Mus musculus: one gene and its partners. The protein of the gene in region 4 interacts with the protein of the main gene of each other region in a pairwise test. Links are inferred from orthologs where the notes say so. Each region holds a gene or a part of one and is shown on either strand. Other genes may lie near its edges.

Region 1 (8,203 bases), on a different chromosome or scaffold from region 4:
CAAACAAACTAAGGGCTACAGAGTTGTCTCAGTGGTTGTCTAAGTGCTTGTTGCTCTTTCAGAGGATCCACTCAAGTTCAGTTCCTAGCCCTCTTTATTGGAGGGTTCACACGACCACCAGAAAATGTATCTCTAGAAGGTACATCCTGGCTCATAGTTACTCCCCCACCCCCAGTATCTTAAGCAGATCACTTTTGTGGGGAAAAGTGTCAATGAGAATACAACTTTTTTTTTTTTTTTTTGAGACAGGGTTTCTCTGTGTAGCCTTGGCTGTCCTGGAACTCACTTTGTAGACCAGGCTGGCTTCGAACTCAGAAATCTGCCTGCCTCTGCCTCCCGAGTGCTGGGATTAAAGGCGTGCGCCACCACGCCTTAAATACAACCTTTAAAGCTTTTGCACAGTTTAGTACTACAAACACCATAGTGACTTAATCATGTCCTCTGAAGATAGATTCTAAGGCCTAAACCTTCTGACCCATGAACCCATTTTCACTTGGAAGGTGGTCTTTGTAGATGTATTCAGTTAAAACAAGGTCATACAGGTTTAACGTGAGTCCCATCATTCTTTTACAAATAAAGGACACACAAGAATTTTAGCAGCATACGATGGAAACAGAGGCTCTGCACTTACAACAGAAAGGACTGAGAAACATTATTAACTGGCATAAGAAACGAGAGATTCTTACTTAGTCTTCAGAACTAGGCCCCACTGAAACCTTGATATCACACTTACAGCTTCAGTTCATGGGAAAATTACGTTTCTAGTGCATCACCTTATTTTGTGGTGCTGGGAATTGAATCTAAGTCCTTCTGAATGAGAAAGATGCACTGTAACAGAGATATATCTTCTAGCCTCCCTTTGTGAGACAAATTATTGATACATAGCTCAGACTGTCCTCCAATTACTCTTCTGTCTTCATGCTGAGAAGACAGGCATATACCACATCTGGAGTTTGTTTTTTAAGACAACCATAGCAGACTAGGCAGGCATAATGTTCTGAACCTATTGTCCCAAATACTCAGAGGCTTTGAACCTGCAAAATTAATCTCAAATCCCTAATCCTCCTACCTTTACCACCTAAATACTGAGATTAGAGGCACACTGCCATCATGCCTTGATAACCCTTGGATTTCAGACAGGGTTATTTTAGCCCAGGATGATTTTGAACTCATGATCCTACTTCTTCTACCTCTGGTCCCAAAGTGCTGAGATTAGAGGCATACAACACTATGCCCAGGTATCTATATGTACCTGAATAGGTTCTTGGTATTTGTAAAACTGTTAGAAAGGAGGTGAGAAAACAAAACAACAAAACCAAACACACCTCTCGAAGAATGGCATTGCCATCATTGGTCATCACGATGCCTCCCATTGGGTCCAAAAGCATCTAAGAAAAAGCAAAAGTGTTACAGATAACAAAAAAAGGAGGACATGGGGTTTGAATTCCAATAAAAGGTAGTCCAACCTTCATCATAGATTTAGGTCCCAAGCAGGTCCGGATGATGTCTGCAATTGTCTGTTGGTAAGGAAACACAAAACAAGAAGCACAGCAGAGAATAATGTGAGTGTTTCTAATAACCATTGTTTTGTTTTAAACAGGGTTTACCTAGGTAGCTCCGACTGGCCCTGAAGTCAGAGACAGGCCTGCTTCTGATTCTCGATGATAGGATTAAAGGCATACTCTACCATGCCCAGTGCATAGCCAGTGTTTTAAAGACTTATTTTTATGGGTATGAGTGTTTTGCCTAAATATATGTTTGTGCTTCAAATACATGCCTGGTGACCAAAGAGGCCTGAAGAGCATGTTGGATACCCTAGAACTGGAGTTACAGGAGGTTGTAAGCTACCACCTGGGTTCGGGGAATCAAATCTACGTCTTCTGCAAGAGTAGCAAATACTTGGGGCTCAAGAGATGGCTCAGTGGTTAAGAGCACTGACTGCTCTTCCAGAGGTCCTGAGTTCAATTCTCATCAACCACATGGTGGCTCACAACCATCTGTTATGGGATCTGATGCCCTCTTCCAGTATGTCTAATAGTGTGGTGGTGCATGCCTTTAATCCCAGCACTCGGGAGGCAGAGGCAGGCTTATTTCTGAGTTCGAGGCCAGCCTGTTTTACAGACTGAGTTCCAGGACAGCCAGAGCCACACAGAGAAATCCTGTCTTGAAAAAAACAAACAAACAAACAAACAAACAAACAAAAAAGAGTAGCAAGTGTTCTTAACTATTCAGCCATCTCTCCAGCCAGTGCCACTGTTTAACAATGGCACTTAACGACGAGAATGGTAACTATTTTAGACACAACAAATAAATTTTCAGAAGCTATTTCAGTTTTAGTGTCCTAAGAGTTCAGCATTAATACTTTTATTGACAGTGGCCTCTGGTCCACATGAAATCAAGACTTCTAATCATTCACTCAAAAATATACTTACTGAGCTCAGAGTGGTGGCACATGATTTTAGCCCCAGGATTTGGGAGACAGAGGCAAGTAGATCCATGAGTTCAAGGACAACCTACTATACGCAGTAAATTCTAGGCTACCCAAACAAGAGGGGACAGGGCTCTTTCAGAGGACCTAGATTAAAGTCCTAGCACTGATACGGGAACTTTCACAATGGCCTGTAGCTCCGGTTTCAGGGGGATCTGACCACCTCCTCTATGCTTCCATGCCATGTACACACATACATACATGCATGGAGGCAAAACACTCCAACAGTAAAGTAAAACAAGCAAATCTTTTAAAAACCTCCCTTCCTGTATCACCACCAGGGAAATGCCTTGGAAAAAAAAAGCAAGTTTTCCTCTGCTCATTGTATGAAGTACAGAACCATAGGAAGTTTGCTACTACCAATAAGGAAGTATTAGGAGAGTCAGCCAGAACAAACTGCTGTTATCTCATAAAACATGCACTACCTTTGCAGCATTGATATTTCCAGACTGAACTTTTCTTCCAGATTCACGCTTTGTGTTCTGACCTAAAACAGACAAAAACACATGTCAACAGCCCAGTGTACACAATCATTTTATTTCCTAACTTAAAAAAAATGCTACATTTTAATGTATATATCAGGTGTACAAATGCTTGGCAAAACTGTGAGGTCAGAAAACAACTTTCAGAGTTAATTTTCTTTCTATCACATGGGTGCCAGGGATCAAACTTGGTCATCCAAGTCAGGTAGGGTGGTGCATGCCTTTGACCCCAGCACTTACGGCAGAGTCAGGAGTATCTCTGTGACTTGGCATATATATAGAGAACCTGCCTCAAATGAAACAAACAAACAAACAAACAAACAAACAAAAATAGCAACAACAAAAAGACCTCCAGTTATTATTAGGCTTAGTGTCAGGAGCTTTTTTTTTTTTTTTAAACCTGTTGAGCCATCCTACCACCAACCCTATTCATCAAGTTTTGAAAATAAAAATAAATACAAAGTTTTCAGTGTATAACCAGCAGTCAATTACAACTGTTTAAGGTTGAGCGTGGTAGCATATGCCTTTAATCCGAGCACTGATGCAGATGGATTTCTGTGACTTGAACACCAACCAACTTGGTTTATAAAGTGAGTTAGTTCCAGGCTAGCCAGTTACGAAGTGAGATGGCCTGGTAGTTAAAACCTTTGGAAGCTCTTGCAGAGATCTCTGCATTCATTTCCAGCACCAACATGGTAGCTCACAATCATCTCTAACTACAGTTCCAGGGGATCTGATGTCCTTTTCTGGTGTCTGCAGGCACAGACATAGAGGCAGGCAAAAAACACAGATAATGAGAGAACCCCCGGTATAATAAGAGATAACCTGAAATGCTTCAACTTCATAGTCTTGACCAGTACTTTCCTTGTATGCATGCTTACATATTTCCAGTGATTCATATCTTGAGTGCCCTGAATGGGCCTCAGTAGGACAGTGATTTTTCACAAGACTGCACACCCCTTACAACATCCCCGGGAAGAGGAGCCACAGAGTCTCAAAGATTAGTGACCAAGAAAGTCTGCTTGTGAGGCTGGAAAGATGGTTCAGCTTCAATTCCCAGCCCCTCAAGGTGGCTCACAACTGCCTGTAACTCCAATTCCAGGGAATCTTGGTGCCATACACAGACGAAAACAAACAAAATATCAATCACAAGCCAAGGAATCTCACGATAGAACAGGAAAAAGACTAAAGCCTGAGAGCCACCCTGTAGGTAAACTTCTCTCAGGAGACTAGAGCAGAAAATAATGACTTCTTACAAATCTGGCCTGCTGCTTAAAACCTCATGGACTCGTCTACGAGTGTGTAGGAGAGGTAGTGTCACTGAACACCTTTGTCTCTCCTCCCAGTGTGGCCAGACTAAATCTGTTTTTCTCTTTACTATGTTTAACTTTGACCCAGGCTTACTGAGTTATTCTCAATAGCTCAGGTAACTGACAAGGAACTGGTGCTCTTTACTGAGATGAGTGGCGTTCCCTAAAGAGGAAAGAAAACCAGGAAAGGAATTTGGGAGAACTGGCTGGTGGGAAAGATCACATCCAAGATCGGGAACGCCAGGAATGTCATTTCCGAACAAGGGTTGCTGAATGACCGCTACTGAAAAGATGCCACTTCCGATTCGATCTGCCGGTAAAGGCAGCTTTTACTTATCAACTTAACAACTCTACTACAGCCTCCTAAATACTGATGCTAAAGTATCAATCAAGCGAGTTGCCGTTAAGTCACGCCTCTACGGAGGGATGGACCGAGCATAGGAAGCAAGGCCTACCGTTAAGAACCATCATTACTATCTACACGGAAATCATGCTGTAAAGGACACGGGGGCGTGGAGGGTGGCGACTAAAGAACCGAACGCGAATAGGATGAAGCACACGTAAAGACTAGCGACTCCGAGAGCGGAAAGTCATTTTGTCAAAAGAAGGCGACAGGAGAGGCAAGAGAAGAAAAGTGGGGAAGGAGCTTGGTCCAAGGCGAAAAGACCACTGGAAGGCACGAGGGCCGAGTCATGGCGGGACGGAGCTGGGCAACACTGGCCAGCTTGGGGAGAGAGGGGCGGAGAGAGACATCCCTTCCCTGAACTCACTGAGCACGAGCACTGGACGGTGGCCCATCATGGCGGCACGACGCAGAGCCGACTCTCCAGAGCTGGGGGGAATCGGCAGAACCTTCTGGAGAGAAGAGCAGCGAAGAAAACGCTGCCTCCTCAGGAATGACACAGAAACCTGCTAACCTCTGAAGTGCCGCCAATCACCAAACTCATTTTATTGATTGACAAAAACATAGGCCAATCGACAGTATTAGCCCCGCCCTCTACGCAAGAAAGGCAAGGCAAGTTAGATAGAGAGGGCATGATGTAGGGGACTGGGAGACGCAAGCGCTTGCGCACTGGCGTGGCCGCTCCCGGCCGCGTGCGGCCAGAATGTCTGCGCAAGCGCCAAAGCACGGGCAGTTAGCTGGCTCGCTACAGCGCATGAGTACCCACTAGAGGGTGGGTGCTGGGGTGGAGGCTTTGGATTAATGCTGTAGGTAAGATCATGAAGCTCTGTTTTGTCCATCGGTTCTCGTCCGACCGTGAAGGCCAAGGAAGGCATGATAGTTCTCTACTTTTTATTTCAGCCTTAGCGGTAGGGAGGAGTAGAGGAGCCAGAAATACCCGTCGTGGCCCGAGAGATTGAGGCAGTGTAAAAGTGGAAGTTGTCCTACGGGGCGGGGAGGCAACGACTCGGCTCCCCGCCTCCCCGGAGCATGCTGGGAGTTGTGGTTTACTGCTCTAGACGCGCTGGTTTTCTTTTTTAAAGAAAAGGAAGGAAAATTCTTGTTCTTTAGATGTACCTATTTTTTATTTTATGTGTATGGTTGTTTTGCCTGTGCGTATGTAGGTGCACCACTTGTGAGAGGCGATCAAGCGGGAGTCTGATCCTCTGGAACTGGAATTGATTGTGAACCGCCACGTGGGTGCTAGGAAGTAACCCTGTCTGCGGGACCATCTATTGCTCTTAACTGTTGAGCTATCTCTCCTGTCCTAATGTCTTACTTCTTAGAAAAATACGTTGAGTCTAAGGCAAAAAGACATAAAGGAGGATCGCTCACATTTCCCCCGAATATCCTAAGTCGTGTTTCTTGCAGTATTATGAGTCTTCTTCGCCCCCTCCCCCCCAGCCTGGTCACTGGTTAGTGACAAAAGAAACTAGAGTTTTTGTTTTTTTAATTACCGTATTATCTTTACCAGAGTTCTAAGGCTGGCCTAAAACTCGTCGTAAAGACCAGGCTGATCTCAAACTGGAGACAAGCCTCTTGCCAGATCACCCCATATAGGAAAAAGACAAAACAAAACAACAAAAAAAATAAGGCTAGTAATTAAACAGAAGTCTCAAAGAGTCATGACATGTTTGTGATAGATTTAAAGTTCGTATTTGGTATGCTTTGTCTTCTGCAGTGAAAAGGCACTAACAAAAACTGCCGAAGGGAATTGGAGAAAAATTAACAATTTCAGAACAGTTGTTTGTTTGGTGTGGTAGCACACCCCTGTAATAAACTCCAGAGGCTGAGTCAAGAGGATAGCGATTTTCAGTGGCTTCAGTCTCCCTGGACCACATAAGGGAGGCAGCCTGGAGGGAAGGCTCAGTGGGCTTAGAGGGTATATTGCTCTTGCAGAGAACCTCAGCACAATTCCTTGAACTGATGTCTGGCTGCTCACAGTCACCTCTCACTCAAGGGAGATCTACTCATATATGTACATATTCACATAATTAAAACTTAAAAATTTTACATTTAAAACCAGACACCTCTATGAGATAGTGTATACACTGTTATATACTGTTACACTTCGGGCTTTCAGGGGAGTGCTTAGGAAAGAAGACACTGTTGTTTGACCATGTGACCCTATTATTCTTTCCCAGGCACCAGACCTGTTGCTGTCAAGATGGAGCAGCACACTAGTAACCCTACTAAGGAAAAAGGTGTGTCACAGCCCCTGTGTCCCCTCCCTCAGAAGCCAGCCTTCCCCATTCACTCAGGGTTTCAGAAATGAAACTAAGGAAAAAGGTGTGTCACAGCCCCTGTGTCCCCTCCCTCAGAAGCCAGCCTTCCCCATTCACTCAGGGTTTCAGAAATGAAACTAAGGAAAAAGGTGTGTCACAGCCCCTGTGTCCCCTCCCTCAGAAGCCAGCCTTCCCCATTCACTCAGGGTTTCAGAAATGAAACTAAGGAAAAAGGTGTGTCACAGCCCCTGTGTCCCCTCCCTCAGAAGCCAGCCTTCCCCATTCACTCAGGGTTTCAGAAATGACTAAACATTTGCCACTAAACAGTGGCCTGCTACTTGGTTACTTGGAAAGTACTTGTGGGATATTTTTGGGTAAAGGAGATAGGTTTAACTTTGCTGGCTATGGAACTCACTATCCTTACTTGAGACAACCCTTTTGCCAGAACAGTCACATCCCAGGGATTATAGGTATGACCTACTGTGTCCAGCTTTTTTTCTTTTCTTTTCTTTTTCCTTCTTTCTTCTTTTTAAAAGAGTTGTTATATAGACCAGCATGTCCTCAAACTCGAAACAGTCCTGCTACAGCCTTCCCAGCTGCTGAGTTGACAGGCATGTACTACCTACCTGACTTTGATGAGTTATTTTTATAGCACTTGTAAAGTGTCACTAAGTAGATCACAGCTTTGCTGCCTAGAGACCCTGGCTTAATTCCATGCAACTGCCATGTGCCAGTTGTGGAATCCTGACCAAATTTTATTAACATGGGATTCCTCAAGTACAATGCTGCTAATACTGGCTACCTAGGACCATTGAAAAGGATATGTCGGGGCACTGCAGAGGTGGCTCGGTGGGTAAAGTCCTTGCTATGCATACCTGAGGATCTGAGTGTGGCTCCTCTAAATCATATAAAAGGCCAGATATGAGCCGGGCGTGGTGGCGCATGCCTTTAATCTCAGCACTCAGGAGACAGAGGCAGGCAGATTTCTGAGTTCGAGGCCAGCCTGGTCTACAGAGTGAGTTCCAGGACAGCCAGGGCTATACAGAGAAACCCTGTCTCGAAAAACAAAAAAAACCAAACAAACAAAAAAAAAAAAGCCAGATATGGTGGCATATGTCTGTATCCCAGTACTTATGGAGGCAGGGACATAGAGTAAACAGGTAGATCCCTGATGGCTATTGATGAGACAGTCTAGCTGAAATGATAAGTTCCAGGTTTGGTGAGAGACCCTTACTCAGCAAAATAAAGCAAGGCTG
Region 2 (6,336 bases), on a different chromosome or scaffold from region 4:
AGCCACCCTCCACCCTCCCACCCCTGTGCTATATAAGTCTTGAGTATCCAAAGTGGAGAAGGTCGGATGGAACTATTACTCTCATTTTACAGAGAAGAAAGAGACTCAGAAAAAAATTAGATGTTTCTTGCAAGCCACATTCAACAAGGAGAGAAATGTTTTACATTAGAAAAAAGTTAAAAACAAACAAACAAACTTTTGAGTCTTTAGTTTGCCCTTAACTTCTGACTCCTCTATTTACAGAATACATGGCCCCAGGCATGGAAGTCTTGGTTTCTTTACATCTATAGTGAAGACAATATCTGCCTCATGGTATCCTTGTGAGGTTACGAGATGCGAGATGGCTAGTTTGTAAGGCATGTCTCTCCACCTGTCGAGTGTGTGCAACCACCCCACCGCCAGCGTGAAGATTACAACTCTGTGCGTGAACTCTCAAGCACAGTGGAATGTGACAGTCCCCACTCTTTGGGGATGGGGTTCTACCTACGGCAGCCATTTTCAGAGTCAGAGAGGAGGAATGTAGCAGCATGAGAGAGGCATGAACCTTGCAATGGAGACCAGCCTGTTGATTCTGCACCCCGATGCCACCTTCCAAGCCCTGCCGAGTTCTTTGAAAGCTGCAGATTCTGCAACCTCTACTTTTCCTCTCTGCTCTGTTTACCGTCACACATCTCCCTTGCAATTTGGCTGCTTGAAGGAGGTTTGTTTGCATGAGGCCATGGAATGGGCAGGTCCCACCTTCTCTGCTGAGGCCTGGCACCTGCCTGGCACCTGGGGACACTGTTACAGCCCCATTGTAGAATACTCCAGTGAGCTCTTACCAGCTGCCCACAGTGCACTGGTCCCACACAGAGGGCTCCAGGTTAGTGATTTTCATCCAGACTTCCAACTGGGTTTCTGCAAATAAAAGCCTGTGTTCTCTCACTTTCAGTCCAGAACCATCTTACACCTAACATGGGGTACTTGTAAGAAAGCAGCCAGATGCTAATGCTGACCCCCAGGCCCAGGACTAGAAACAGCTCCCTTGTCAGGGGAGCCACCCATCATCACTTAACCCACTGGATTCAAAAGCACATGCCACAGATGCAGTTGGGATTCAGGTAGCTGCTGCCACCCTGGTGCTACCACCAGTCTTTTATAGGGCTGAGTGCTGCAGGCAGATGCTAAGGTGTCAGTACCAAACACCCCTGATGCTTCCCTCAGGATCTAGTTCTCATCTAGTGGTGTTGCTGCAAGGGTGCCTGGGAAATGAGGCTTTTGATAGGCTGTTTTCCAGCCTCAGTAGAAAATGAAGGAGCAGGTCAAAGGCATGGGAGATGGATGCTAGAGCAAGCATCAGTTGTTAGAGCAGCAGTTTCTACTGTGGTAGCCACCTGCTCTCTTCTTCCCAGCAAAAACCCGGCAGACATCCAGTTTTGGAGCTAAATATTTAAAAAGAATTTATTAGCAGAGCAGTGACCCCTGGCCCAGAGTTGTGTGTGTGTGTGTGTGTGTGTGTGCTCACAGGCTTTTACACTGGCACCGTGTCTTTCAAGAATCATTCAAGTGTTTCATTGTAGAGTTGAGAACTTGTATCCCGTGAAGCTCTCGCAGTTGGGCAGCAAACCTGTGGTAAGTCAGGATGCAGAATCCAGGTTAATATACGTCACACTTCACAGCTACCTTCTGCAGATGGATGCTGGCCATGCACTGATCACTCGAGGGAAAGGGAAAGTGACAGTGGCACAGGAGAGCCTTAAAGATCAAAGAGAGTAGTGGGACTCTAGGGGAACCCACACAATACTGGGAACACTCAGTGTCAGGTGTGACAGGCCGGTCAGATGAAGCTGTGCTCTTAGGAAAGCCCTCCATCCCACCCCAGCAGGGGGCCACTTTGAACTTATCCTAGTAATGGGTTTCTCTTTTTGTAGAAAAAAAAGCTTTTCTCTTTTTCTTCTACTTGATCAATCAGAGAGGACTTGAAAGAGCTTTCAGTGACAACCAAACCAGCCTTCTCATTTCGGGGGGATGGGGGGGGGGAGAGATGTGTGCAGCTGTAAGGCAGGAGCCATATTGAACCCCATCCTCAAGGTCTCCCTTACTTCTATGCAATGGACCATGGCACAGCCATGGGGAAACACCCTGAGACATACACCATGGGATGGTTAAGCATATAACAGGTCCAGGACAGGTAAATGATGCTCCGGCTTGCTGGCTGGTCTCAGGCATGCTGTTCTGTAGCCTTGTCTCTCCAGCAGGAGACTGTTACTGGCACTGACCAGTCCTCCATTTGCTTAGAGTCAAGTCAATCAATAAACGAGCCAATCAATCAGCAAAAAAATTAGAAGTCTGGTCCAGAAAAGTAAAGAAAAAGATGAGGCGCTAAACATGGTAGTGCACAGCCACAGTCTCAGTTTTGGTGAGGCAGAGGCAGGGGGATTGCGATCCACCTGAGCTATAAAGCAAGTTATAGGCCAACTAGTGAAGAGAGAAAAGAATGAAGTGAGGGAGGAAGGAAGAGTGGGAGAGAGAGGAGGGGAGGCAGAGATATTGAAAGAGAGATGAGAGAGATGGGGAGGGCAAAGAAGAGACAGGGGCAGAGACATACAGAGAGACAAAGACAGTATGTGTTACAGATTGCATATTAAATGTACTTCAAAGGTCCATGCACTGAGGCCTTGGTCCCAGTCTATGGCACTGTCAGAAGATGACAGAAGCTTTAGTGTGCTTGGCCTAATGCGGGTGAGATTTAGGTCACTGGGGTGTTCTCAAAAGGGAGTTGGGGAATCTGTCCTTTCTGGTGTCTTTCTTGGCTTCTTGGGAACCGTGACATGAATGGCTCCCCTCTGTGCTATGTACCTGCCATGGGGCACAGCCTTGCAACAGGTCCAAAGACACATGTGAGCAGAGGCTGAAGAAGCTCCTGAGACCATCAGTCAAAATAAGTCTTTCTTTAAATGAACATTCTTGTCACAGTGACAGAAAGCTCAATAATAGAGGAAGAAGAAGAGACAGGACTGGATGTGTGAGAGAAAGAAGAAAATGAAATGGAGACAGTTGAAGGCAGGGTGGATGAACAGATGGTGACCATGTGCCTGGAACCAAACCCTGTCAAAGGCATTTCCTTTCTCAGGCTGGAAGTTGTGATTTCCCCCCACAGGAAGGACCCTTATCCTAGAGACGTAGCTCATGGGGACCCCGAGTGGCCTGCACACAAGGCAGGAGGTGGTACCTCTGTGGGTTCCTCCCACAGTGCTTGGTTTGCCCTGCTCTTTCTGAGATGTTATCACCACTTGGGTGGCCTGGCTCAGCGTGACCACAACCGACCTGGGCTCAGCAGTGCACAGCTTCCCCAGAGCGATGCCTGCATTCAGCTGTACGCCTGTCTCCTTTGAGTCGCTGCCTGCCAGCTTCAAGAGCACCCTCACGATGTCCGTCTTCAGCAAGGAAGGGGCTGCACTGGGCACTTCCATGCAGTTGCCAAGGCAGAGGGCAGCATTGCCCGCCAGAATTTCATCCTCAGAGGCAAGCAGCAGCATCAAAAGGTCAAACTCTACAGGGAAACATGGGTAGAGGGAGCAATTGCAACAGACCGGCTGAAAAGGCTGCCAAGATGGGCAGGGGAGGTTGACGGGGTGGATGGCAAGCTTCTTCAGAAACTTGGGGAAATGTGTGTGCTCTCCCTGTAGCTTTGTACTGTGGTATAACTTGCTTTGCATAGCTGGACATGATGGATTAATCCCAGCACCCAGGAGGCAGAGACAGGGAGATTTGTGTGAATTTGAGGCTGGTCTGATCTACATAACAAGTTATAGATCAGCTAGAGCTACATCTGAGACTGTGGTCATTTGAATAGGAATGGCCCTCATAGACTCATGAGTGTGAATGCCTGGCCCATAGGGGGTGGCACTGTTAGAAGGTGTGGCCTTGTTGGAGAAAGGGTGGCCTTGTTAAAGGAAATGTGTTGCTGTGGGGTGGGCTTTCAGGTTTCCTATGCCTAAGCTTTGCCCAGGATGGTATGTAATCCCTTTCTCGTGCCTACAGATTGAAGTAGAGAACTTTCAGCTTGTACTCCAGCACTGTGTCTGCCTGCGCCCTGCCATGTTTCCTGACACGATGATAATGGACTAAACCTCCGAAAACTGTAAACCAGGCCTGGTTACAGGTTTTCCTTTCTAAGAGTTGCTGTGGTCATGGTGTCTCTTCACAGCAATGAAACCCTAACTGTTTTTTAAATGGTTTGGAGTGTCAGAAAAGTCTGTTCTCAAGACCCCTCCCCCCACTCTACATCACCTCCCTGCCTGAGTGAGAGGTTTGCATCTTTTCAGATGGAAAGTTCTTGTCCTCTGTGGGCCCCATCCAGTCAGTCAGTGTGTGAGGAGGAGGAGGAGGAGGAGATATAGAGAACATTAGGAATCTTCCCCTGCTTGGACCATTGCCTCCCAACGCCCCATGAAGAGCTACAGTGGATTTAGAGTTTAAGTTAGATTGTGGGAAAATTAAAGTAGTGTTTGGTCACGTGGTAACTCTGTAGCCTTCACATCTATCTTATGATGGAGTGACATCAACACTCTTCAGGCTAACTGTCTAAAGCAGTCTTAATGAATTCAGTTGGCCTCAATGCTGAAAGTCCCTTTGCTCTCATCTTAGGATTGAAGGTGCTTCATTTCTGCCCTCCTTCCAAGAAGGGAGAGAGCCGGTGCTAGGCCGGTTCCAGCATCACTATAGAAACAAGTCCAGGTTAGCGTCACGGGTGGGGGAAGTTGTCTAGCTTCTGCCCTGTGATCTTTGAGCTGCCTGGCATTTTACCGAAGGAAGCACAGACCGAAGGCCAAGGAGACACTTTGTGACGGGAGGTGAACTGACATCCGGTTGTGGAAACACTACAAGGGAGGGAGCCCCGCTGTCTAGATCTCCCCACCTCCTCCTCAGCCTCCATTCTCTCTGCAGCTCCCAGGGTGAATCCCTCTTTGAGGCCTGGGCTCCCATAATGAAACCATCACTTACTTTTATCAAGTCTCACTACTTCTTCCCGAGCTGCATGACAGCTGTTCGTGCAGATAGCCAGTATCTTTATGGCGTAACGTGATGCAGTCTGGCCTCCCATCTAGGTTGCAGAACAAATATCAGAAACGTCAGATCAAGGGTCTAGCCATTCTTGCTCAGATACCTCAGTGACTATAACAGTGCCAGTGGCCTCCGTGGCATCTGTAAGAGGATTAGATGAAGTATGACATATGCTCCATAAGTGAGCAAGGATGGAGGTCACTTGAACCCAACTGTCCACCTAGCCCATGCCCAGGGTGACGACGTAGGCCTGTTGCCTGTACACCTGACACCACTAAGTGAAAGGCTTTACTAGAGACTGTCTTAGACAACAGTGATGCTGTTCAGTAGCTGATGTTTTCCCAAAAGGAAGCAAATGCCCCCCTCCCATCCTTTGGCTTTGGAGAATAAGGGTTGATAATCTCTGTGAAGAGTCACCAACTGAGATCATCATAAGAGGTAACAATTATGCAAGCATAATTCCATAATATCAGGGTCTTTAGGATGTATGTGGATGCATCCAGCAGTCTCTGGCATAGTGCCAAAGCTGTAGGGATAATGACAGGCACTGACCAAGCGTCGCTCTTCACTGAGATCCTTCACCCTGCCCCGGTGTCATCTGCCCTGCCTGGTGGCATCTTCCCCAGCTTGAGCTTGCTTCCTGCCCCGCTTAGCAGTACTACTGCATCAGTAACATGAGTGACAGTGCATGGGTAGGATTTAGAGGCAACAGTCTGATAATTCCCTGTGCCTTTCCAGGTGGATCTAACTCCTCACTTGGATTCTTTGCACCTACTTCATTCGGGAAATTCCAACATCCTCTGGTCACATGATAACTCTGCAGCCTCCAAAGCTCACAGATGGAGTTAACAACTGGTCCACTCCGGATAAAGACAGAAAGTACCAGAAATCCATGAACAAAATAATTGCCTTATGGGACCTTGCCAAAAGCTGTTCAGTACACCTTTGTTCAAGGACAGAGGCTGCACATTTCAAGCTGGGTATGGAGGGCAAGCCCGGTTTTACCACTGTAGCCAAAGAACAATTTGCTTATTCATTCAAGGGTCTTTGTCACTGCTCAGGGACAGATGGAAGACTTGGCTCTCTATTCAGGCAGAGATGACATCTTGCCATGTTAACTGAACAGCCCACCTTCCTCCTGCCCTCTAAGTTGTACAGGTGATCTCTAGATAGTTAAGAAGTTGTGAGTAGTGCCATAACTTTACCCTCAGGAATTTAATCATTTTCTTGACCACTCCTGCTGTCAGGGCCTCCTCCACAATGGTCTGAGAGGAAGAAAGGGTCCGGCTC
Region 3 (7,890 bases), on a different chromosome or scaffold from region 4:
TTGTATGTAGGAAAATGAGTCTTAAAGGACCAGGAGGGCCCATAAATGCATATATATTCACACACACACACACACACACACACACACACACACACACACTTTCCCCATAGTCTTAACAAACTAGGAACTCAGACATCTAAATTGTTCCTTTGATCTTTGATGGCTCGCTCTCTGATGTGCTCTTGTGTTAACATTTTATTTATTGTGTAGTGCTGTGTGTGTGTGTGTATGTGTGTGTACAAGTGGAAGTCCCAGGTCAACATTGGGTGTCTTTCTCAATCATTTTCATCTTACTTTGTGAGTTTGGTTTGGTTTGGTTTGGTTTTTCAAGACAGGGTTTCTCTGTGTAGCCTTGACTGTCCAGAACTCCCTCTGTAGATCATACAGTCTTTTACAAAAGTATACTAAAATATTTACAGATTAAATAATTATTACAATTTGCTTCAAAATTTGTAGGGTGTAGAGCAATAAATGTAAAATGGGTAGCCTTCAGGGAGTAATTGCTGGGGCTGATGGGTAATATCAAGGCTGATGGGTAATTGTGTGAAGCTCATGGGTGTTCCCTGAGGCTCATGGGTAATCCCTGAGGCTCATGGGTAATCCCTGAGGCTGAGTAGCAGGCCTGTGAAGTCTATCATATCTTTTTGTCAAGTTTTTTATTTATTGTATTTGAAAATTTCTGTGGAACTTTTTTCTTTTAAATTATTAAGCCTTCCTGAGTATTCTGAATGCTCTTTTCTTAAAGAATATTCTTGCCCTTTACCCACCTCACTTCAAACAGCCCAGGAACAGTAACTTAAAACCCACTAGCATTTCTTTGTACAGTAACATAGAACTCACTTCCTGAACTACTGTTAACTCTGAAAAGACTTTGAGTTTGAATACATAAAAGGATATCCTAGGGGAGAGAAATGAGTTCTAAGAGTAGAAAGAGAGAAAAAAGGAGGGGAAAAACCTGTCTTTATTAAAACTTCCCAGGTATGTGTGTGGGGGGGGGAGGTCATGTGTATACATGTATGTGCACATGTGTGCTCATAGAGAGCTTCCACAGAGGTATAGAGACAATGGCTAAATTCTTAACCGTCAGGTTATAGTCACATAGGCCCTCCGTCAACCTTATTGAAGGTGACTATCAATACTTTGAAAGAAAGGGACTTCTTTTCCAATAGTCAGCAAGCCAATGCTGAGACTACTTGGATGGAGATAGGGTGAATTTTTGCCTAAAACTGGGAATAGTCTAGATTTGCATGCTGGAAACCACGTGAGAGCAAGAGTCACCTCAAGTGCTGGAACCTTCAGCTTCTGATGAGATCTCTGGAAGAACACGAAACTGCATGTCTGGGGGTGTGGGGTAGGGCCCTTGGGGTGCAGTAAAAGGAGAAAAAAGTATGGCTTTTATTGGTTAGAGCCAGGTTACACGGTCACCAGAGCCATAAAACCTGTGAGGACACTTTGCAAACAGCCTTTTGTTTATCTAAGTGACTATACCTTTCAACTAGACAGAAGACAGATGTCTATTAATGAGTTCCTAGGCCAGGCCAGGTGCTGGCTACCACCCTTTCTGTTTGCATGGCTTTTGATACTTTTTTGCTGGGGGGGGGGGGTTGTCCCCCACCACCACTGGCTTTCCCACTCCCACCCTAATTATTAGTAGTAGATGACCCTGGAACAGAGGGCGGACAGGTGGACCTGAGTAAACCCCTACTCTTCCACAGAAAGATGTTTCGATGTCTCCAGTTGTGCTTTGAGTCTAAGCTGGAGCTAGTACTTTGTTTACATTGAACCTCGGTTAGTTTTGAAGGGAAGTATGTCTTTGTGTGGTGTCAAACAGCCTCACCTATTGCTGTGTGTCCTTGAAATACAGGCCTCAGCTATTTTTGTTCGTTCCTTTGTTTATTTAGAGAAGTTGGGTCTTGTTTTATTTTCCCTGGGTAACATCAAATTCACAGAGATCTGCCAGCCTCTGCTTCCCAAGAGCTGGGATTTAAGGCGTGTGCCACCATGCCCGGCTCAATTTTATTTTTTAAGTAAAGGTCTCTAACACTTCATTCTCTTGCCTCGGCCTCCCGGGGACTGAGATCACAGGTGTGAGTCACCACTAGTTTATTTGCTGTGTGGGTTTGTTTTGCTCAGTGTTAAAGATCAAACCCCAGGATTTGAAAAGTACCTTGGCTAAGCACCCTACATATGAGCGAGCAACGCCCCTGGCCCGTTTAGGCTATTACTCACACTCAGGCTAATACACATCAACTTTAAATGTACAGTTTCACTCGTTTGGGTGATAACACATACAAGATCCTACTTTATCTTGTGTGTTTCTGCTTTTGTTAAAGAAGCAATGTCAGGAGAGGATCACCTCACATACTCCCAGAGACTAATGAATGATCTTTCTTGCTAAGCATCGGTGTCTGCATCTTTCTCAACAGACTGACTCGCTAGATCCGTCTGGACAGTGTGCCGTTAAGTGGGGTGTGCGGGCACCCTTAAGCGATGGTCCTTATTCTTCTGAGTAGCATTCAACCATTTCTGCTAGCATACATTGACATATCAAAGCGAACCACGCGGTTGTGGATTTCGCTTAGTGCTTGAAAACCAGTGCAAGGTCCTGGGTTCAGTTCTTAGCTCCTGGGAGAGGGACAAAGGACCACCAACCTCGTCCTCCTCAATTTTGGAGAAAAAAAAAAAAAAAAAAAAGGTAAAAGATAAGCACAAAGCAAGCCACTCCATCCCGGAAAGACAGCCAGTCCCTGCAGCCCTAGGAGCTGGTGTTCCGATCACGCATGCGTAGACACGCCTATGTGCTAGAGGCGCTCCGGCAGGGGGCAGTATAGCGACCAGAGGGTGTAACGCCTGTCGTACTCTCTGGGCGTAAAGCAGCTTTGCTTTACGGCTCCCGCCTCCGCCGTAAAGCCAGCGTGCCCACGTGCGACAGCGACAACTTGCCACTGGGAACCTTGTGTTTTGTTTGTTTGTTTGTGGCGAGCTTGACGTTTCCGCTATGGGCAAACGCCGGAACCGGGGCCGCAGCCAGATGCTCAGCACCATGACCAAGAAGCAGAAGAAGCACCTCCGCGACTTCGGCGAGGAGCACCCCTTCTACGACAGGTCGGGGTGCGCGGGCCGCCGGGAGGGCTGGTTCCGGCCGAGTTGAGCCGGGTCCGGTCGGTGCAGGACGGGAACCCCGCTGCGGAGGTGCGCTCTGCACCGGGACCTGCTGAGACCGCGGGCCGTGCTGCCTGTCATCCGAGCACGCGCGGGCTCAGGCGCGAAATCGCAGCTTAGCCCAGCCAGGGCCGCGTAAGGGTCTCCAAAAACAGGACGGGAGGTCGGGAGATAAAGTTGGCCCTGAGAGGTGAACCCCGGTGTGCCGTTAAAAGCCAGTTTCTGACTTATCCTTTCTTAAGAGATGTCATTGAGCTCTCTTGTCTGTTACCCTTTTGTCTGCTGATCATCTCTGCCCTTGTGCATGCAGAATTTCATTTTTTACACTGACTGGATATTATCCTGTATTGGACATTTTTTTTTTTTTTGGTATTCATTTAAAGCAGAATCATTATGCCTTTTCGTGATTGTTACGAACTAGCAGCTAAAGTTTAATGTTATCTATTTCTATTTTAGGGTTTCCAAGAAGGAAGCCAAGCCGCAGATTTGTCAGCTGGTAATGCTTTTTTTCTTTATAGTAGTTGGAATTGGGTTGTTACCTTTAAGATTGGGTGTAAACGTAAAGTTTGGTTTGCATCCCCGTGTTTCTCTGTTTTGGGTGTGAGCTGTGATTTTAGTAATGCTACCCAATTGGTTGTAAGTGATGGAGACAGCTGTAGAAATTACCATGTGATGAGAGAGGCTATGGTTGGAAACTACCCCATGACACTGTCTTAAGTTCTGTGGAAGGGGTTCATCAGAGTGCTGGCTCCTTGTGCATGAAAGGCTTCACACAGTATAAAATGGACAAGGGGCCCGGAGACTCAGACAGTGACACTTGCTTGTAATTCTCCTCTTACATCATGCAACATGAAACCTGATGTCTGAGATGTAAGTTAAAACTCATAACCTGAAATTTTGTTTGAAAAGTCAGTTTTCTTTCCACGTGCAGCTGATGTCAATTAGAACCATAGCTTGGTTAACTGTTTTATTTAAGTTTCATGCCCGGCTTGGTTCAAGAGATGAGACTGTAATATTTGCTGAAAAGCTCATAGGGATTTTTGTTTTGTCTGTGAGTTAATGTATATTCATTATACAAAGTAGCGGGTTTCCTAAGGACTTTTCCAGTCAAAATTATCTGATCGTATTCATTTCCTTCCTTTGACTGTTTGTCTTCCATCTCTGCTCATCCCTTTCCTCTTCCCAAATTCTTGTCCTTTTGATTTCATGACTTCTAATTTCTTTTAAATCTAGTTTCCTTGTGCAAGAGAAAATATTACTTGTCTTTAGTCTGACTTATTTTTACTTCCTTATCACCCATTCTATCCATCCCCTTGCATGTGATATAATTTCCTTCTTTGTGGTTGAGGAAATTCCACTAATATGTATTTCTCACATTTTCTTTCTTATTTTTATTTTGACAACAATATATATATATATTAATTTCTCATTTTTCTTTAGCCAGAGAGTTCAGATTCTTCACATTCTGAAAGTGAATCAGAGAGTGAACAAGAGCACGTTTCAGGGTACCACAGACTGCTTGCTACATTAAAGAATGTTTCTGAGGAAGAGGAAGAGGAGGAGGAGGAGGAGGAGGAGGAGGAGGAGGAGGAAGAGGAAGAGGAAGATGACAGTGCTGTAGGTGATGCAGAAATGAATGAGGAAGCTGGCAGTGAGGATGGCAGTGTGGGAGAAGCTGCTGTCTCGGAGGCTGCTGAGGAGGCTGCTGAGACACAGGAACGTAAGTGCCTGGGGCCGGCCTGTCCTCTTCATTCTGTGTTGTGTGGGCTGAGTGAGAGCATGTGGTTCCAAGGCAGAGATTCAGCCTTGTTGGGTTGGGTTAGCTTTTGAGACTCTGATGGGAACACAGGACCCTCTCATCAGGAAAATGCTGTTGGCTTACTCTTTGGGGGACTTGTAACCTCCCGTAAGACCGCTTGGCGTATCAGGGGGACATTATGTGGTCACTGTGACAGCTCAGTTCACTGAAGAGGTTGTTCCGCTTCAGTAAGAGACCAGGTTTGATGGGAGGTAGACATAAAAATACAAACTTTCATGTTGTAGATTTGTTTATATGAAGCAGCTGGAGAGGAGATGAGGCTGCTCTCACTGGGTCCTTAAGGTGACTCTGAGAGGTACTGGGACTGAGAGCCCAGAGAGACTCTGTCTTAGGGCTCAGATGCACCGCTAAGTGATCTTCTGTGCCTGGGAATCACATCCAGGGTCTTGTGTATGTCAGACTGAGCTCGTCTTTTGAGTTACGGTCTTACTGTGTAGACCAGGCTGGCCTTCCGCTTACGATCCGACTTCTGCCCTGGAATACAGGTGTATACCTGTGAAGGAAGGCTTTCCGCCTGTCCCCAGATCTCAAATGACGACTCTGAGACTTAGTTATGAACAAGTGCCTAGACCATAAGCTTGGGCTTGTTCTCCGACAAGCTCATAACTATATGCCCCTCTAGTCTATAACATGCGAGCCACGTGGCTGGTTAGTTACTCCTCAGAGTCCGCTGGTGGAATCACCCTCACCTGAGTAGCTCCCAGAGTTCTTCTCTCTCTACAGAACTCTTACTTCCCGCCTTTTTTACTAGGCCATCATTTTTTTACTGACAAGTGATGCTTCCATACTGTACATAAGAGAATCTTTCTACACACCCCCATGCCTGGCTTTTTTTTTTTTTTTTTTAAATCAGCCTCATTAGAATATGTTTATATGCAAACAGAAGGCAGCCTGGGCTGACCAGGTGGTTCACTGGGTAAAACCTCCTGCTGTAAAAGGTGACAGCTTGAGTTAGAGTTCCGGAACCCACGTAAAGGTGGAAGGCAAGAACCAGATCCGGGTAGGAAAAACTAACTAATAACGAAGTGTACCTAATTTCTATATGCAGTTTGAGCTTTGACAAACATGTACCTTCCATGACCTACAGAGATGCCTATCCTTTTGCTGGCACTGAACTGACTCTGGTCGCTGTAGACTGGCTGTGCCCATTATAGAAATCTGGAAACATGGTTAAACACACAGCCTTTTTGAGACAGGCTCTTACTCTGTAAACCCAGCCTTGAGTTCACTGTGTGGCCCACAGTCATGACCATCCTCCTGCTCCATCCGCCTTCTACCTCCCACCTCTCAGTGCTGGGATTGCAGGTGTGTAGTGCAATGTCTGGCTTGTGTCTATTTTACCTTTGTGCTATTGTTCTTAATAGTTTGCTTTTAATTGCTGGATATATGTGGGTGACTTCTATATCTCACTATCTCAGTCCTGTTATTCTTACAGTCACTTCCTTTTTTGAGAGAGTATCACTATCCCTAACTGGTGGCCTGGCATTTGCTGTATAGGCCAGGCTGGCCTCAAACTCACTTCCCGAGTACTGGGATTTAAGGTGTGCACTACCATTCCTCATTCCTCCTAACATGGTCTCCATATTCCCTCCATTCCTCTGTGATGCTGGGCCTCATACATGCCAGCTACACACTTTCCCACTAAGTTACATCCCAGGCCTTTATTCATTTAGTCATTCTTTCTTTTCTTTCTTTTTCTTTTCTTTTTTTTTGGACAGGGTTTCTCTGTATACCCTTAGCTGTCCTGAAACTCACTCTGTAGACCAGGCTGCCCCCAAACTCAGAAATCCGCCTGCCTCTGCCTCCCAAGTGTTGGGATTAAAGGCATGTGCCACCACTGCCAGGCTTTCTTTTCTTTCCTTTCTTTCCTTTCTTCCTTTCTTCCTTTCTTCCTTTCTTCCTTTCTTCCTTCCTTTCTTTCTTTCTTTCTTTCTTTCTTTCTTTCTCTTTCTCTCTTTCTCTCTTTTCTCTCTTTTCTCTCTTTTCTCTCTTTCTCCCTTTTTTGATTCTAGCTAGGGCCTTGAGCATGATAGGCAAATAAATTTTTTTTAAAGATTTATTTTATATATATGAGTACACTGTAGCTGTCTTCAATTATACCAGAAGAGGGCATCAGTTGGTTATGAACCACCATGCTGGGAATTGAACTCGGCCTCTGGAAGAGCAGTCACAACCGCTGAGTCATCTCTTCAGCCCAGCAAATACTTTTTTTTGTTGTTTGCTGTTTTAAATCTTAACCTGCCCACCACCCCCCCACTCCCCACCTCACCCCCACCCCCCACCCCCCCAAAAAAAGAGCGGGGCATGGTGGCGCATGCCTTTAATCCCAGCACTCAGGAGTCAGAGGCAGGTGGATTTCTGAGTTAGAGGCCAGCCTGGTCTACAAAGTGAGTTCCAGGTCAGCCAGGGCTATACAGAGAAACCCTGTCTTGAAAAACCAAACCAAACCAAAATAAAACAAAACAAAAAAAATCTTAGACCAGCCATGTAGTGGTTTTCCTAGTTAGCTTTACTGGGCTAAAAATCCTTTGCCTTGCTGGGCACAGTGGCACACTTTTAATTTCAGCACATGGAAGGCAGAGGCAGAAGGATGTCTGTGAATTCAAGGCCAGCCTGGTCTCCATAGTAAGTTTTAGAACATTCAGAGTTACATAGTAAGACTCTGTCTTGAAAAACAAAAACAAATAAGCAAAAACTTACGTTGCTATAATTTTTAAATGTTTGGAGGTTCTTAGTGCTGGTTTTCTTTGCATTTAAATTTTTAGAGGAAAATGGTTTTGTTTATTGCATGTTTTAATTATAAACATTTGTCTTATTTACCTCAGAAATGTGAGAAGGGTCATTAGGATATAGCACAGTGGTTGAAATGTGTGCCTAGGATAAACACAGCCCCGAGTTTATCCCCAGCG
Region 4 (7,454 bases):
AATCCAAAACTATTTGACTTAAGCACTGACCCCATTTTTTTTCTATGCCCAGTGCTGCACTGACTCTCATAGAATGAACAATGTTCTCCAGGAGGCTGGCAGGGAGGGCAGAAGGCTCTAAGTAGGGAGGTCAACATTTGCAGAGGCATTTAGTCTTGAAAAGGCAGAGCGCTTCTGAGGAAAGAGACAGGCAGTGCAGTAGGGAGAAAGATAACAGGAGGAAATAATATGAAGCATCATTGGTCAACAGCTTTGCATGTCTATTTCATTGAGTTCCTACATTTGTGAGGAAGGCATGTCACTGTGAATATCAGCATGAAGTTTCAAAACAAACTCCAAGTACCTACCTACGCATTGTAACCCAAAGCCTAAGTTTTCAAATTATCATGTTATATTAATCATATATGCACATCTTTATTTTTATCATAATTATTTTTCAGTTATAATATAAGAACATGGTTAATATGTACCATGGACCTTGGAATTAGGAAATTACTTTGAATCTTATAAAGAACAGTTTCAGCCAGTTGCCAACAATGTAATAAAGAGCAGAGGAATAGGTAGATATTAAAAAATTAAAGATTATTATTGATCATCTACTCAAGATTTGGCTGTGAAGAGAGAAGAGATCTCTCTCATTTGATTTTATAAAGTATTTACATACTTTCAAAGAATTACTACAATGAAAAGTCAGACACTATAGAGCATACTTAGCCTATCTTACCAAGTTTTATTTATTGTCTTTTCAGAGGATAATCTCCCTAAAAATTCCGGAGAATGCACAGGCTGATGTTCATATAACCACGATGAAGATGCACACTACTACCTAATTTGTGGCTAACAAAACAAATAGAAGACGTAAAAGAAATAGCTCACGTGGGTCTTCTTGGAAACCAGAATGAAAGAGTGGAGAAGCAATTTCAACACTTAACTTTTATAAATGACATGTTGTACTTAAACCGATCCCCAGATTGGTAGTATTCCACTAAAAAGATTTTGTTTGTGGTTAAACGTGCAAAATAAAGATGATAAAAGTTTGCTTAATAGCTAAAACTACCCAATTTACTAATTTCCCGAGACAACAATCTTTCCACTCCCTGGGATACGAAAGATCTTTCTTTTAAAACATGATAATGCTAACTGGCAAGATAAATATTGACATCTCCAACATTTTGAAAACTAACTGGTCTCAAGAAACCCTTATTTTAGGGAATTTTAGTCACATAGCAATGAAGTACTTACATATAAACTTTGACATTTAAAATTATTTGTAGACGGTACAAACAGGAGTAAATCACAACTGTCCAAGTTGCTGTGATTTACAATACAATTTATATATCACAGCATTTTTAGTTTGTTAATGCACATTGCAAATAACCAGATGTAGTTTCCAAATGAATTTGTACCCAATCTTAAAACAGATAATTAACAGGACTTAATCAAAAGTTTCAAGGTACAATGGCAGTAAAGATTAAAGTGTGTAACCCCTGAATTATTCCAAAATGCCTTTGCCTCGATTCCCCTGAGTCTGGTCTATCAATTTAAATACAGTTGCAGAGATGATGGGGAAACGGCTGAGATGACTGATTTCACCTAGGAAGTCAAGGGAGTAACGGTCCTTGGGCATACAACCTAATACTCAGAGTCTGAAAGAGAAAAGATAAAGATGCTGTGTTGGCAACTAGAGGTGATACAGTTTGTGAATGCTGCCGTGCTGCTGTTACTCGTACAAAAGAAGGTTAGGACGACACGCCGTATTCCATAACAAACTTCTTCAGAAAATGCTGCTACAGTGTTCAAGTTCCATAAATTAATAACGGACATCTTTGCTTGGGAAATTGTTAACATTCTGTGCACTGTTGTAAGGACGGACTGATTATGCAGCTTTGTTTAAATTTTAATAAAAATGCAAAGAACTGTCAAAATAAACAAATATAATTATGCACTCTGAAAGCTGCATCGCATACTTCTAAAGAACAACACAAGAAAATTAATTTCTGTGTACTGGGTTGAGTGCAGCTAGAGGCTCAGTGAACAAGGTCACAGGAGATCTCTTCTCCAGGGCCCTGACAGTGAGGCTCAGTGAGAGCAGCTGCTGGTTACTTGACTGCCCCTCCCCTTTGCAAATAACACTGGGGAAGGATTTAAGCACCGCAGAATCCACGAGCTGATCCGGGGCATTTAGTATATACAACCTGTCCCAAATCATAGGGTAACAATAAGGGCCAAGCAAATAATTTTTTCTATTGAAAAAGGAAGTGAAATGTCAGCTTAAAAAGTTCATTTTGGCTACTTTTTCCTGAGAGCATTAGTAAGTATACAAACAAGAAAAACTATGTGGACTGTTGGGTTTCCCAAGGAAAGTTTTTTTTTTTTTTTTTTTTTTTCCTTTTCTTTTCTCTAACGTTTCATGCCTTTAGGGTCAGGGCTGGATCGGTTACTTACTTCTGAACCTTTTCGTTGGCTGCCTGGGAGGCCTCCACAGCACACTGAAGCTGTAATTCCATGTGAGAGTGCTCAGTGAGAGCCTGCTGAAGTTGGGTGGCCAGTTCTTCATTCTGTTGCTGAGTGATGGAGACAACGCTCTCTCTGTTTTTTAAGGCTTCTTCATAGGTACTAAGGGCATGGTTAAACTGATCCTTCAGGCTTTCTTCTTGAGATAATGATTTGTGCAAGCTGAGAAAATGTAAAAATACAAATATAAATAATGTAGGCTAAAAGTTCAATGATTTGTTTAATAAAAAAAATCTTCATGTGAAACCCCTCTTCTAAAAATCAATATAGAATACCTAAATGGGCAAATGTAAATAGCTTTTATAACGTATTATTATAATTGATCATTGTTCTGTAACTCTGCTACTAGGCCAGGAGCAATGCAGACAACTGATTATCTATGCTATCAAAGCACACAGAAAGATGCTGTAAAATGTTAATTTAATTATGTCAGTGTAAATATTACATTCAATTTTCTTTTAAAGGGATAGCACAGAACTGGAAAATAAAGTATTTCTAGGTAAATAAAAGTATAATAAGCTGACTGCAAAGACAGGGGAGGAGAATGGACATCGGTCTAGGAGATCTAGGGCCTATCGAAGTACTAAGTGAGAATGGACGAGGTTTGTGCAAATACCCAGCAGCCTCACACACAGACCCTTCCACCTGCCACAGTGGAAGGATGAATGATGTAAAGTCACCAGTCAGAGGATGTGCATCCAGATACCTATCTTTATGGCTAATGAACCTTATGATAAATACATCTACTCATTAAGTGATATGGAGAAAGAGCATATAAATTAAGACGAAATGAATGCAGAAGAAAATGCAGACAAATAGAATCCTAAAATGCTAAAGGTCAGATCTTTGATATGTCATTACACCCACCACCTGAGGTTATTTTGAAATGGCACCAAGCACCTCACTCAATTAAATAAAGACATTTTGAAAATATAAATATTTAATAAGGGAAATTTAAAATCCACATAGGAGATGTTCTTTTTTTATTAAATAAAATCATTCTGGTATATGAATACAAAGGAAATGTCGCCAGAAGTGTTGGAAGTGCAACCACTGAGCTATATAACACAAGTTGAGAATATGAATGAAAGCAATATAATTCTTAAAGCCGCAAAAAAGCTAGTTGGAGAACTTCAGTACTGGCCTAATACTAGCCTGATGCTTCATCTAAAACTGTTCAGATGAGTGTGATTATCTATTTCTTCTTTTCAAGTTACAGAAAAGCCTCTACAGTGTCCTCAATATGGGGTAGGTATCGCATAGAAACCAAGACAGTTAACATATCAAAAGAAATCATTTCAGGATTTAAATTAATCCCCAACAATAGAGAATGGTGCTAAACTCTGGTCAGTTGGTTATCCCGTGTAAAATTACAATGAAGTGCAGAGAGATATGTGACTCCCTTTACATCCCAGCACAGAGGCTACTCATTATTCAGGTTGTCTCCCAAAGATTCCCCTTCCATCAGGATGTTATCCAGCTACAGTCTACAGTACCAAACAGTAGGAATTAGTGATTTTTTTTTAAATTACTTTTATTTTTTTTACAGTCCAGTTGTTATCCCCCTCCTTGTCCTCCCTCCCACAGTTCCTCATCCCATTCCTCTGCCCCCCTGTCTTCAAGAGGATGTCACCACTCCCCCCCCCCCCCCGCCCCCATACTTCCAGAACTCCCTACTCCCTGGGGCCTCAGGTCTCTGGAGACAGCTGGTTTTCCCATGGGGTTGCCCGACTCCTCAGCTTCTTCCAGTCTTTCCCTAATTCAACCACAGGGGTCCCCAGCTTCTGTCCATTGATTGGATCTGGCTCTGTCTCAGTCTGCTACTTGTTGGGCCTCTGGGAGCACAGCCATGCTAGGATCCTGTCTGTAAGCACACCATAGCATCAGTAATAGTGAGACCTTGGAGCCTCCCCTTGAGATGGATCCCAAGTTGGGCCAGTGGCTGGACTGCCTTTAAGTGGTATCACTTAACACCCTGCAGGGGCATCTCATGCACTCTGGGAAAAAAAAAATCCCTAAAAATAACAAATTATATATTTTAACTCACTGAACCTGCAAACAACCTTTTTGAATAGTTTCATTCACTGTCTTTGTTTTATGAGTGAAGAAACTGAAACAGAGAGAGGCAGGGAATTTAAATAATCCCATCACCCCAGCAGTACCCCCTAGCCGAGCCTGCATTTGAACCCACAGCCACACTCCTAGCCCCTGTGTTTGAACACTTACTCCGTGCTTGCCATAGCTCTTCACTGGCTTTTCGACCTTCAACCAGTTTCTTAAACAGAAAGCTTTTCCTGCCCACTGCATTTGCACCACTTTCCCTCTGTGACAAACTCCTACTCACTGGGGAGATTTCAGTCTAAACTCTGCTTCTGCACACAAACCTTTGAGACTCTCCAAATTTAAATTGTTTATTGTTAGTCCTTTGGTAACTACATCCAACATATAATGTATTCTGGTTACTCTCCCCCCCCCCCACCCCCGCACCTTCTCTTATCTTCCTCTCTTATCAACCTAATTTTCACCTGCCAGTCCCTTTCTCAGATGCAAGACTTTGAATTTGGTTTGGTTTGGTGATCCACTTAGTTTAATCAGGGCCACCTGGTGGAATCTGCTGTGGGTATACAATGGAAGGCAAAGACTTCTCTCTTCCTCTCTATCAGTAGGAGACAGTTCAGAGTGAGTGGCCATCAGCAGTCCTTGTGCAGATTTGGAGTGGTCACCTGTGTTTGTCGAGAGGTTGTAATTATAAAGGCCCTGTAGTATTCAGAATTTGGCCTTTGGCATTAGAGCATTTTGCAGCCCTTTTCTCTGGCCTTTACATTTGTTCTCTCTCCTCTCTTGCAATGCCCCCTGAACCTAGGAGGGGATGATATTAAATGCCTTGTGTAGGGCTGAACACTCAGCTGACACCTATTCCTGTACTTGTGTAGCCCTAAGTCTCTGTAAGCACCACAATTCACTGGAAAGAGTATCTCTGATAAAGGTTGTAGTTATCTTTGTGTATAAGCACACACACATGCGCACAAACAAACACACACAATTTAGAAGGCAGTTTGAGCATATGTCAGTGTAGCTAAACAATAGAACTAAATTCATTATTAGTGTGATTACAAGACTCATGAAGCCACTATGGAAATTTGTGGAAACTACCACAGGATTATTCCTCTGTTGGACATATTCCCCACCCCAATTATTTTTTAAAAGTTTATTGTATTATATTTTTCTTATTCACTTTACATCCCACTCACTGTCCATTTCACGGTCACCCCTTCCCACAGTCCTCTCCCTATTCCCATACCCCTTCTCCTCTGAGTGGGTGTACCGCCCCAAAAATTTATAGCCTACTACTGAAATACCTGTTCATCCATACTTATTGCTACTGTATTTACAATAACTAGGAAATGGAATGAGTCAAGATGCTCATCAATTGATGAGTGGATAATGAAAAATGTGGTACATATACACAATGGATGAGATTGACAGGTAAGTGGATGAAATTGGAAAAAAAATTATACTAAGTGAGGTAACCCAGGCACAGGAATAAATAATACTGTATGTGACCCTCTGTTTGAATCTCTCATTTTGTGTTTTCAACATAAAGCGTTCCTACAGACACCAGTAGTCTATGAAAGAAGCTATTGGGAGAAAGATACTGTGTTCGGGTTTTACTGCTGTGAACAGACAACATGATGAGAGCAAGTTTTATAAAGAACATTTAATTGGGGCTGGCTTACAGGTTCAGAGGTTCAGTTTAATATCATCAAGGCGGGAACATGGCAGCATCCAGGCAGGCATGGTGCAGAAGGAGCTGAGAGTTCTACATCTTCATCTGAAGGCTGCTAGTGAAAGACTGGCTTCCAGGCCACTAGGAAGAGGGTCTTAAGCCCATACCCACAGTGACACACCTACTCCATCAATTCCACACCTCCCAATAGGGCCACTCCCTGGGCCAAGCATATACAAACCATCACTTTAAGGGAGAGAGGACGTTAAGCACAGGTGTTATGAATGTAGAGGATGTAATACTGGGGATAGAGAGGTTTACACAGGGAGGAGGTGGCAGGGTAGGAAACAGGAGGCGCCAGGTTAATGAAAAGGAAGGCTATATGAAAAATCCACGGGAAAGCTACTCTCTTATAATTATATATGGCTCTTGCCATTTTTTTGTTTGCCTACCATGACTACAAGATAAGAATATACCAACTTTATAGATGAATATACCACCTACTGTGGTGGTATGATATAGAAAAATGATGCTAGAACTAAGCTAGAAGAATTGTCCTTGCTAGAAAGCTTTTACAGTGTAGGAAGGTCCTGTGTGGTCAGCTGAGGAAGAAAGAAGGGAGGTGTCAGTGGACCTAGCTGTGAGCCCTATGAATGGCACTATCAACTTGCCAGGCAAGATGTGCACACTTGTGCAATAATGGCACAAATCTTATGAAGGCAAGTAATAGGTCTCTGACTGGAGTAGAGAATTGCTTCACAGGAAGGAATCCACACCTGGTGTTGGTATTATAAATTCACTCAAAAGCCCATGACAGGGCTGAGAGATGGCTCAGTGGTTAAGAGCCTCAGTTGCTCTTCCAGAGGTCCTGAGTTCGACTCCCGGCAACCACATGCTGGTTCACAACCATCTGTAATGAGTTCTGATGCCCTCTTCTGGCCTGCAAATGTATATGCAGGAGAGCACTCCATAATAAATAAGTCTTAATTTAAAAAGCCCACAGTAGCTTAATCCCAGCACTCGGGAGGCAGAGGCAGGCAGATTTCTGAGTTTGAGGCTAGCCTGGTCTACAGAGTGAGTTCCAGGACAGTCAGGGCTACACAGAGAAACTCTGTCTCGAGAAAACAACAACAAAACCAAAACCAACCAACCAAACAAAACCCACACTAGACAGGTCATAGGGCTTAAGGGGAAGTTACAATTTAAATTTTGA

The links.
Region 1: the proteins of Mipol1 (region 4) and Cct3 interact in binary tests that used the Homo sapiens proteins (3 or more experiments, as listed by UniProt). The two-hybrid records come from large-scale screens. The link is inferred for Mus musculus from reciprocal best matches to the Homo sapiens genes MIPOL1 and CCT3.
Region 2: the proteins of Mipol1 (region 4) and Ttc12 interact in binary tests that used the Homo sapiens proteins (3 or more experiments, as listed by UniProt). The two-hybrid records come from large-scale screens. The link is inferred for Mus musculus from reciprocal best matches to the Homo sapiens genes MIPOL1 and TTC12.
Region 3: the proteins of Mipol1 (region 4) and Utp25 interact in binary tests that used the Homo sapiens proteins (3 or more experiments, as listed by UniProt). The link is inferred for Mus musculus from reciprocal best matches to the Homo sapiens genes MIPOL1 and UTP25.

Annotation. Positions count from the first base shown.
Region 1 is NC_000069.6:88,294,114-88,302,316, reverse strand, and holds the start of Cct3 (T-complex protein 1 subunit gamma), read right to left. Parts: upstream 5,183-8,203; 5' UTR 5,082-5,182; coding exon 5,051-5,081; intron 2,976-5,050; coding exon 2,914-2,975; intron 1,518-2,913; coding exon 1,467-1,517; intron 1,389-1,466; coding exon 1,326-1,388; intron 1-1,325. Other genes in the region: Tsacc (TSSK6-activating co-chaperone protein), read left to right, coding at 6,890-6,926, 7,484-7,558. UniProt on the Homo sapiens protein: Component of the chaperonin-containing T-complex (TRiC), a molecular chaperone complex that assists the folding of actin, tubulin and other proteins upon ATP hydrolysis.
Region 2 is NC_000075.6:49,436,851-49,443,186, forward strand, and holds the end of Ttc12 (tetratricopeptide repeat protein 12), read right to left. Parts: coding exon 6,252-6,336; intron 5,087-6,251; coding exon 4,987-5,086; intron 3,533-4,986; coding exon 3,307-3,532; intron 1,607-3,306; coding exon 1,531-1,606; 3' UTR 111-1,530; downstream 1-110. UniProt on the Homo sapiens protein: Cytoplasmic protein that plays a role in the proper assembly of dynein arm complexes in motile cilia in both respiratory cells and sperm flagella.
Region 3 is NC_000067.6:193,125,259-193,133,148, reverse strand, and holds the start of Utp25 (digestive organ expansion factor homolog), read left to right. Parts: upstream 1-2,897; 5' UTR 2,898-2,998; coding exon 2,999-3,105; intron 3,106-3,165; exon of another isoform or gene 3,166-3,297; intron 3,298-3,618; coding exon 3,619-3,658; intron 3,659-4,602; coding exon 4,603-4,882; intron 4,883-7,890. UniProt on the Homo sapiens protein: Component of the ribosomal small subunit processome for the biogenesis of ribosomes, functions in pre-ribosomal RNA (pre-rRNA) processing. Essential for embryonic development in part through the regulation of p53 pathway.
Region 4 is NC_000078.6:57,452,175-57,459,628, reverse strand, and holds the end of Mipol1 (mirror-image polydactyly gene 1 protein homolog), read right to left. Parts: intron 2,677-7,454; coding exon 2,442-2,676; 3' UTR 2,388-2,441; downstream 1-2,387.